Daphnia pulex: one gene and its partner. The protein of the gene in region 2 purifies or fractionates together with the protein of the main gene of each other region. This does not show direct contact. Links are inferred from orthologs where the notes say so. Each region holds a gene or a part of one and is shown on either strand. Other genes may lie near its edges.

What was found. The genes of interacting proteins can lie anywhere in the genome.
Region 1: the proteins of serine/threonine-protein kinase ULK3-like (region 2) and hsp90 co-chaperone Cdc37-like purify together in Homo sapiens (affinity purification with mass spectrometry; 3 studies listed by BioGRID and IntAct, with this or other methods). This does not show direct contact. The link is inferred for Daphnia pulex from reciprocal best matches to the Homo sapiens genes ULK3 and CDC37.

The regions. Positions count from the first base shown.
Region 1 is NC_060026.1:6,136,376-6,140,502, reverse strand, and holds hsp90 co-chaperone Cdc37-like, read right to left. Parts: upstream 2,221-4,127; 5' UTR 2,095-2,220; coding exon 2,062-2,094; intron 1,891-2,061; coding exon 1,757-1,890; intron 1,689-1,756; coding exon 1,524-1,688; intron 1,439-1,523; coding exon 1,058-1,438; intron 985-1,057; coding exon 795-984; intron 731-794; coding exon 560-730; 3' UTR 501-559; downstream 1-500. Other genes in the region: U1 small nuclear ribonucleoprotein 70 kDa-like, read left to right, coding at 1-100, 157-227, 290-393. UniProt on the Homo sapiens protein: Co-chaperone that binds to numerous kinases and promotes their interaction with the Hsp90 complex, resulting in stabilization and promotion of their activity. Inhibits HSP90AA1 ATPase activity.
Region 2 is NC_060023.1:1,269,434-1,274,678, reverse strand, and holds serine/threonine-protein kinase ULK3-like, read right to left. Parts: upstream 3,316-5,245; 5' UTR 3,092-3,315; coding exon 3,005-3,091; intron 2,917-3,004; coding exon 2,765-2,916; intron 2,304-2,764; coding exon 2,089-2,303; intron 2,021-2,088; coding exon 1,794-2,020; intron 1,730-1,793; coding exon 1,450-1,729; intron 1,393-1,449; coding exon 1,252-1,392; intron 1,186-1,251; coding exon 1,085-1,185; intron 1,026-1,084; coding exon 942-1,025; intron 880-941; coding exon 786-879; intron 729-785; coding exon 706-728; 3' UTR 459-705; downstream 1-458. Other genes in the region: ionotropic receptor 93a-like, read left to right, coding at 4,889-4,990, 5,082-5,170, 5,235-5,245. UniProt on the Homo sapiens protein: Serine/threonine protein kinase that acts as a regulator of Sonic hedgehog (SHH) signaling and autophagy.

The DNA of each region.
Region 1 (4,127 bases), on a different chromosome or scaffold from region 2:
CTGGTCAAGTCGCTTCTGGCGATGAGCGTCGCAAAGAAAAAGATCGAGTTAAAGACAAGAACAAGGATCGCCGGGAACGTCGCGATCGTTACAAGGATAAGTAAGCAATCAAATTATCGAATTCAACTTCAGAATTTAATGAATAATTTTTCACAGGGAACGAGAGCGTAGGGACTATGTTCGGGAGGATGGTGAACAAGTGCGAGTGAAGGAAGAACCGCCTGATGGTATTGGAATTAGCTGTTAATGAAAAATATCTATTACTAATTTGTGGAATTGAAATTTGCAGATTATGACTATACGGCCCAACAATATGATGGCTATAATCAATATGATCCTGACAACATTAAATACGAAGTGGAAGAGTCGCAATTCCAGACTGAAGAATACTAGCGTATGTTTTTATAGCAGTAACTTGTCTGTTCTTAAGGCTTTTTAACTTTACAATTTTAAAGTGAGGTGAGTATGAAACTGGAGGTAAAAACGTCAAATACACGTTATTCAAAAGCCCCAGTGTATTAATTCATTATTAATGAATATAATAATCCAAACTAGTATTTTAATTTTCTGCAACATTTTCTGCAATATTTCCAGCAACATTTCCGTCGGGTACCCACAATCCGGAGTCAACACATCTTTTCATATGAAACCGTGCTTCTTCTTCAGGTAGTGTTGAAATTGCTTGTTGAAGAAGCTCAATGTTTTGTTTTTCAAAACAATCCTTAAGAACCTACACAACAAAACACATGATTCATATATGTGGAAGGAAATTTATGTGTCTTGCTCAATTATACCTCCGGTAAACTTTCAAATACTTCAACGGGATCCAACCCTCCAGGACCAAGTCGTTTTTTCTTTTCTTCCTCCTCAGCTTCGGCAATTGCAGCTTCTATTTTCTCTTTCGCCCGCCGTTGTATACGGTCTTTGAAAGCTACAAGTTCGTCTTCAAATCCTTTACGATACTCAACATCTGCGATTTGAATTCTAAAAGAGATAAAATAGTAAACAATTCATTTAGTTATAGCTACATAAAGGACAACTTAATATAAAGATAAACCTTGAAAAGAATGAAGACACACATGATCTTGGATCTCTGTTAAGGTGCCTGGATAATTCAAGAATGAATTGCATGCAAATGCACTGATGGGCAACATGTTCCATTAAACTTGTTTTCTCTTCCATTTCTAAATTAATACACCAAATCACGAGATAGTTTGCTGTTTCTTCACAAACCAGCTCTGGATTTTCTTGAAGGAAACGCTTACTATCATCATACTTTTGTAGCATTCCATATGCCTTAAGATTTTTCTCATGTTTCTTGAAAAATTCACGTGTTTTGATTTCTTTCTCCTCTTCAGTGAGCTCTTTCACTTTTTTGGGTTGGTCAACATTGACCACAGTTTTTGAAAATCCAGGTTGACTAATTGTATCTACATTCCTAAAAAAAATATGCAAAAAAACCACAATTAAACTTTGAAATTAGACATCACATTAGGATATATTGAAGTGAATCTTTTAAATACCATGGCATCAACTTTTCCTTTTTTTTCATTTGTTCTTCATGATCTTCGAGTTCAATTTTTTTCGATTCTAATTCACTCAATTGCTTTTTCAAATCTGTCACATCAATACCTTCTTTCATCACCTGTTCATACTTACTTTTAACTTCTTTTAGTTTGGCAGTGTTCCTTTGTTAGAAAAGTTTGATTTAATGTAAACTTTAACAAAAACATTAAAGCTAGTTATTTAGCATTACTCATTTTTTGCTTTGAGAAACAGAGCTTTTTCTTGTTCCATTTCCTTCATTTTTTCTAATCTAGCTTCGTGTCGCCATTTGAACAGAGAAGGCGTGTCAACGTTAGGATGTGTATCATCCTCATCGTCAGATATCTGTAAAGTATTATGAAGTACGTGAGTGTTTAAATGAAACATATAAATAACGAATACTTAATTACGATACTTAATTACGATTAAATACTATACTGACAATAAATAGAAGGTTAGAGAACCCGCAAAAATATGGTAAAATAACAACACAACATTTTTGAAGCAACAATTTACCTCGATATTTTTCCATTTGCTGTAGTCTACCATTTTATTCGCGATAAAGTTAAGAACTTAATGGAAAAGTGGAAAGTGACAGATTATCTAAACGCTAACACTACGAATCTACGATTGTAGACTCGACAGAGTGGTGGCAGAAAACTGAACCTTTGCCTAAGTGATAACTCCAAAGAGGTACACCCCTCTGGCGATGGGTGGAGCTTGTTCCTGAATGGACTAAAGCAACTTCGTCTCTACTAAGGCCATTTTAGCTAAAAAAAGGGGGGTTTTAGTTTTAGCCTTTAGGAAAAATGAACATTATTGACACATTACACACTATTTACATAATAAAACCCGGACAAAATCGTAGCGTGGGATCTTAAAGAAATGAACCATTAAACATTTATATACGGGAAATAGGGGTCTTAATTCAAAAAATTTATTCATTATAAACTGATACTTATTTTATTAATAAAAAATGTCGTGACGATTGCAATCGTTCGATCGTGCGATCACGACCACGGTAAATTTTTAGCGATCGCGATCCAAACTGAAAAACGCGACCGGGATCGGAATTGCAGGCCAGAAATCGCTCGATCAGATTTGCGATCGTCGCTATCTTTAATTAATAAAAAAACCCTTTTTTTAAATAGCACCACCAATAAATTATTGTTTTTATTTTTATATAAAAAATTATTGTTATACATTAAAGTTTATAAAGTTTCAGTGATTAAATGTATTTTTGCAAATTGCTTTGTGCTTTGTCTTGATTCTTGAAAACGTTGGTAATCATTTCCCCTTGCCATCTAGCGGCGATCGCAAAAAAGATCACGACCTTGACATGATGTTTGTTTCTGTTAATCGGGCCGGGCTCGCGGTAAAAAAAAAATATCGGCCACAACACTGTTGATAAAAATGTGTTACAAATTTTTTACATTTTCGTTAACATTTATTATTTTAAAATTAATTTAACAGCGCGACAAAATGTTCGAGGCTTCGAGCCGTGTTTAACACGGAGTTTATGGCGGTTACCATAAACTTAAAATAAATCATTAAAAGACAATTAAAGTAATTCGAATAATACTAAAAGTAATTTTTTGTGTAAACTAATAGCGCTTATTTGTGAATGACGGTTTTTGTGAGAAGTTGATTTTTTGCGTGCTAAACTTCTTTCTATATCTGTTGCTGTGACTTCACATGTTGCGTAGTCAGCATCGCGCAGTACTCTGTTTTCACCTGGGAGTAACTCCCTTTTGAGTCCTCCTTCAAATGCATTCTTTTTTTCCTTCGAATGTCGTTTCTTTTGAGAGTCATATCTTCATTTGTACTATGGAAAAAAGCATTCCGTTGTAGGCTTTAACAAATCATGTTTCTAAACGTGGGCGAAATTCTCTTACTCGTTCGTTAGCTTTTTGTTCAATTTCAGACAGTTCGTTCTTAAAAAATTGATTCTCAGATGGGTCCTTAAATGGTTCTATGATTAAATCTTTCCATTCATTGTATCCAGTAACGGGTTCTGGGTTTTCAGGTTGGCTAAATGTTCCTGGAATGACAGAGCTAATTTTTTGAATTGTTCAGAAAAATAACGTTTTATCTGTTCTTTAAAATCGACTCTCTCGAAATAGGGAATCTTTTCTCTGAGAGGTCTAGATGTTTTTTAGTCCTTCATCGGGTGAGTAGGGTTGGGACCGAAGCGTCTGTTGCGTTTTGGTACAAAATCACTAAGGTGTCAACCCTGACGCACGGCAACGTCCATGACGCGTCGTATGCAAAATCCCCAAGTCTTATCTCTCTCTCTCTATTATCTCGTCACCCTTTCACCCACCTACTCAACTTTGAAGTTGGGTGGGTGGGTGGTTTTTGACGAGGGCTGGGTCGTCGGGCTTCGTCTCCAATCCAATGGAAAAAACAAGACTTGGGGATTTGGTATACGACGCGTCAAGGACGTTGTCGTGCGTCAGGGTTGTGATTTTTAACGATTTGTTAGCTAACGCAATGGCTCCAGTATTGGCATCTAGAGCAGTGGGGGAGGGGGGTCTACCTCCATAGACAGAGTAAGGGACATATTAACAAGCAATCCACCA
Region 2 (5,245 bases):
CCCTTGATTTCCTAGCAAAACTTTCCCTTTTTTCCCAGCAGTTGTCCCTTTCTATTGGTACAGAGCCATCGAAATGTAGTTGCTCGTGAAATCTCGCCAACCACACGGAATTGATATACGGTGAAACGCTTCACACCAACATGGACAAGAAAATGAAAGAGAGAACGGAATTACAAAATCAATTAGAACAGGGACATGAAGGGGAATTATTTCAAGTTTAGGGGAAAAAGAATTAGAAGGCCGAATGGTTTAAATGCATTTTTTTTTTAAATATTAACGTGAAAATAATTTTGGTACTTTCTAGTCCAACACCTGACCGTGGCCCGAATGTCAGACACTCGTTTTATCGAAAATTACTATCAATCTTATCTGATCCATCGCATATGTAATAGATATGCCACGACACCATTACAAAAATGTTAACTTAAATTAAGGATTCACATAGAGAGGATTTTAGAAGTCAGTCTAGTTCTTCACATTATATTTTTTTCGATCAGGATAACAAAAGAAGAAAGGAAAAGTGAAAGCCAGCAAGCATACAAAAGGTATACGCTTCGTGTATAGAAGGGGAAACGAGTCATAAATTGGGGCTACTTTCTATTTTCGTGTATTTCGAATGGCAGAGAAACTGTTTTATTTTTGCAACCATAGCTTCTTTTTTTTTGTGTATCACCATTCACCGGTTGATTGGTCGCCGAAGACTTGTTACTGAATACAGCAATATTGCCCTTCAAATAAGATTTAATGTTAATTATTTTATCAAGCCTAAACTAAATTTGATTTACCGCTAGCATCTTCAGCCTGTAGTTCTTCCAGCTGTGACTGTTGGAGATTGTGGAATTCTTGCAACTGTTCAGCTCTTTCCATCCATAATGTGACCTAATACAATTTTACGTCAAAATTTAGCAAGTTAATTGAACATTTTATTCGGAAAATTGAACCTGTTGATGAAGCAAATCTCTCCTGCGTCCCTTGGATTCATGGCGAAGCATTGGTATCATTACATCCAGTGCTGCTTTGTAACGCTGATTGATATAATTTAATTTTATCGGTTGATTTGAATGAAAATTAATCAACATGTAACCTCTAATGCAAAAACATGCTGTCCCTCTGAATCGTATTGCACTCCTTCTTTGCCTATTTCCAGCGCCGAGGCTAAATTCGGTGTAGCGGACGCCAGGGAACCTACCAGCCAATTATAATACGTTAACAGAAAATTGAAGATAATTTATGTTTACGGAATTATCTTACGGAGTTCTTGAAACGTCGTTGAAACGTTGGACTTGGTTAATTGAGTAGAAGGTACTTCAGGGACAATCGACATTTCTTTGATTCGGCAGGAACATGTATGAAGTTGTCCACTCAATTTAGATTTCGTGACCGCATCAGCACCTGGGATTACAAAGTATTTTATTGGTTAAATCAGAAATATTAGCCGGAAAATGATACCTGATATTAACGGCTTTAGAAGAGCATGGGCTTGACGGTAGAGAATAAGAGTTTCATTTCCTCGATTTGACTTATACGAATTTTCAGCACGCTCAAAAACTGAATTAGCCTCTAACAGACCACTGTTGGAGGACAGGAGACGTTGGAGGACACAAGCAGGCAAATTGACAAAAGGATGATTGAAGAATTGTTCAAATGTCAACCGCTTATTGGGGTCCTTTTGCAATAATCGAATTAAAAGGTCTCTACAATTGGATGATAGCTCTATAGTGGTTGGAATCTACAGGTATTTTAAAAGGAAATATTATCATGAGCGAGAATTAAACTATTTATCCAACACTTACTGTTATAGGAGCATCACTTTGAATTTTTTCCACCAATTCTTTCAAGCTTTTAGACGAGCATGGAGGTCTACCAAATAAACATTCGTATAAAATCACACCAGTTGACCACAGATCGACAGAGGCGTCATAACTTTGTCGCCGGAGAATCTCTGGAGCCATGTATAATGGGGATCCTCTGTAAGAAGTTTCTTTTTCCCGGTTTTTAAGAGATTGAGCCAAACCAAAATCTGCATTCAAAAAATAATAAATAAAGATTTCTTTAATATGTGAGTGGGGAGAAGTTGGTTCGCATTACCTGCTAGCTTCAAAACTGGATGTTTTCGGGATGTTAACAACAAGTTACTTGGTTTAAGATCCATGTGAACAATATTATGTTGCCGCAGGTATTGCAAGGCAAACGCTAGTTGACTTAAAAATGATCGGCAAATGTCTTCTTTTAGTTGTTTGTAGTTTCTAATAAAGATGGATAGGTCTCCACCTTCGCAATATTCCATTATTATATAGATAAAACTGCGAAAAAAGAGACAAAAAAATAAGCGGTTAAAAATTTTTAACTAGGGAAGATTTTTAAAATTGTTAAAAAAAAGCATGGTTATTTAAATACAGTGCACTATTTGATAAAACCTAATTCACAACTTGTAATCAAACAGAATTTCTTATCTGCTCAATAAACGTCCTACAAAGTATCTTCCAATGTGTAGGAATTGATAGCTGTTGGGGGTATATAAGCCGTCACTGATAACTTTAGGACAAAATACACTTTGATCTCGTGATATGATTGAACTTTGCTAAATATCACAGTCACCACAATATTTTATGCAGTTAAAATCTTAAACATTTTTTCACTAGGCTGATGCAGTTCTGAATTAAGATTTTGGTTAATAATAATAAAGAAACACAAGGCCAATGGACCATGCAATAAGTTAAATTGTAACACAAGTAGCTTTCCATGTGTTCAATCAGATACTCACTTTTCATCCCATTGAAAATCTAGCATTTGAATGATGTGTGGATGTCTGAGACGTTTCAAGGCCTCGATTTCATGTACTATACTGTTTACCGTGTTTGCAGATAATTCATTCTTTAATATACATTTAACAGCAACAATTTGTTTAGGGCTACTCTGAATGAATGAAAGAAACATCATTAAAACAAAGAATAAAAAATAATAATATAATTTAAAAATGACTAATTGGATAAGCAATATTTACAATCTGATATGCTTTGTAGACATCAGAAAAGGTTCCGCTTCCAATTTTCGATTGAAGAACGAATCCTGGTAGTCGAGGCAAGGGCATTTTAAAGTTTACTGGAATGGTATTTTGGCTCTATGATGATAAACTTTTTCGAAAAATAAAAGTTGTTTAATCTAAGCAAAATCAATAATTGATTTTGTGAGAAATGATTTCACAAATACAACAAATTCTAATGGCGCCTATCTCAAAGAACCTCTGATCATAACAAATAAAAAATAAGAAATAACAACTTGAAATTTCGTCTGTTCCTTTAAAGATCGATACATTGAAATACTATATCGATATAAGCTATCACGATCGATATCTAGAACCCGTTCAAATACGGTGGCGCTGCTTTCACAAAACAAAACATCTAAAAGCAGAAATAAAATAACTTAAAATTTTAAGTGAATAGGGAAAGAATAGAATTATAAATTATCCTTAAAAGTTATAAAGAAGAGTCAGAGTTGTTGCTGCATGTTTTTTTTTCTGTGATTGGACATCACATGATCACAGAAATATACTGTTGAAATATACCATTGACCTGTCATCAGCAAAAATCTTCAAATTTCTTCAGGTATCATACCATGGTATCGTCGCGTGGGTAATAATTTTCGATACTCTTTTTCATGTGACTTGCCCAATTGCTTGTTAACTTTTAATTCTCCTGTTTATTAAAAATTGGGTCTACCCACATTTTCAACTTTTCCTTACTGCTTACTTGTTGTTTCTGCAAACATTTGTCGTGACTTCTTTTTATTTGTATTTAGATAAACAGCATCCCGTTTTATTGGAGAAACCATCGATGTCGGTCGGGTTACGTAACTCTTCTTCCCCTTTCTTGAAATGTCCTCATGTACATGTGTCTGTGGGGATATTCACGAGGACCCCCTTTTTCCTGTCAGCTGTAATTCAACTCTTCAACTGATGGAGCACTTTTGGATGCCTGGCCGTATTTCCCAGGCTTAAAGGTAGAACAAATATTATCTAACTATTCTTCCTGTTGACTATTTGGTGGCTTATTGGATGATTTCAAATCGTTACATAGTACAGAGTAGGCCTACTATCATTCCTGAGTTAGGCCGTTGACTGTAACTGTTTTCTCTTGCCGTGTTTGTTTACTCAGTTTTGGGTTAAGTAACGCATTTGTAGAACGACTGCAGATCAGGCTTGTTTTTGTTTTGTACCTCACAACTTTTGCCTTTGGGTAAACAATCAAATTCGAAAAATATTTGAACTTTAAACACTTCAAGCAAAGTGCAACTAGAACATTTTTTTAACAAAGAGAAACCTGTTGTGTACCATCACACCTCCTCGTTGCAAGCACGCATAAGCATAGTCCATTTCGAAAAATAAATTGTTAGAGTAACTCAGAGTCAAATAAGGAAACGAATCCCAAGTATTCGAATGAGCGCTTATTAGTGCAATACAGTATAGACGCACATTAGATATGAGTAGACAAACCGAGTCCAGTCTGAGCACCTGACGTTATTCAAAGTAGTTGAATATAGATGAGACAGAGAATTGACAGCTGACGTGGATCACAAACGTGAATAGAACAGTAGGCTTATGTATGGTTGTTGCAGTTTGGATAATATTGGATAATATCGGAAATAAAAGATGAGACATCAATGTCAGATACACACACAGACATATCATCTTCTATCGAGAAATTGCCGACTATCAAAAGTCATTTATTTGCATATGATGTGCGTGTCGCTATGGAAACGGAAAATTACCTGAAACTTCTCCGGTGTTACATGAGCTTAACTTTATTACAATGAACAGAAAGATGTCCAGTCGTTCTCAAGACTCCAACCCAATTTGTTCTGTCCTAGAGATCTATTCTAATATCTTGCGATGTATTCTTTACTTTTAATTCTATGGCTCACCATTTCCAACTGCGGATTCTCGTCAACGGAGTTCAATTCCCTCAATGGTCGGCACTTACATGTCATCTGGGTAAAACAATGTTAAATTTCATTCATCTGATTTTCGGTTTCTTATCAGTAATAATTACCCTGATTATAATTTAAATCTTTTGACACGCCAGACAAAATGGAGTGGCAACCCTAAAGGACTGTGGGGGCCACTCAAGGGTGGTGTCGCCCTCGATTTCCTATCTGCTCGCTTAAATTTCACGTGACCAAAACCCCGAAATTATTTTTAAATTATTGTTCTAAATGTAATTGTTCAATTTTCACAGGTATGAGATGA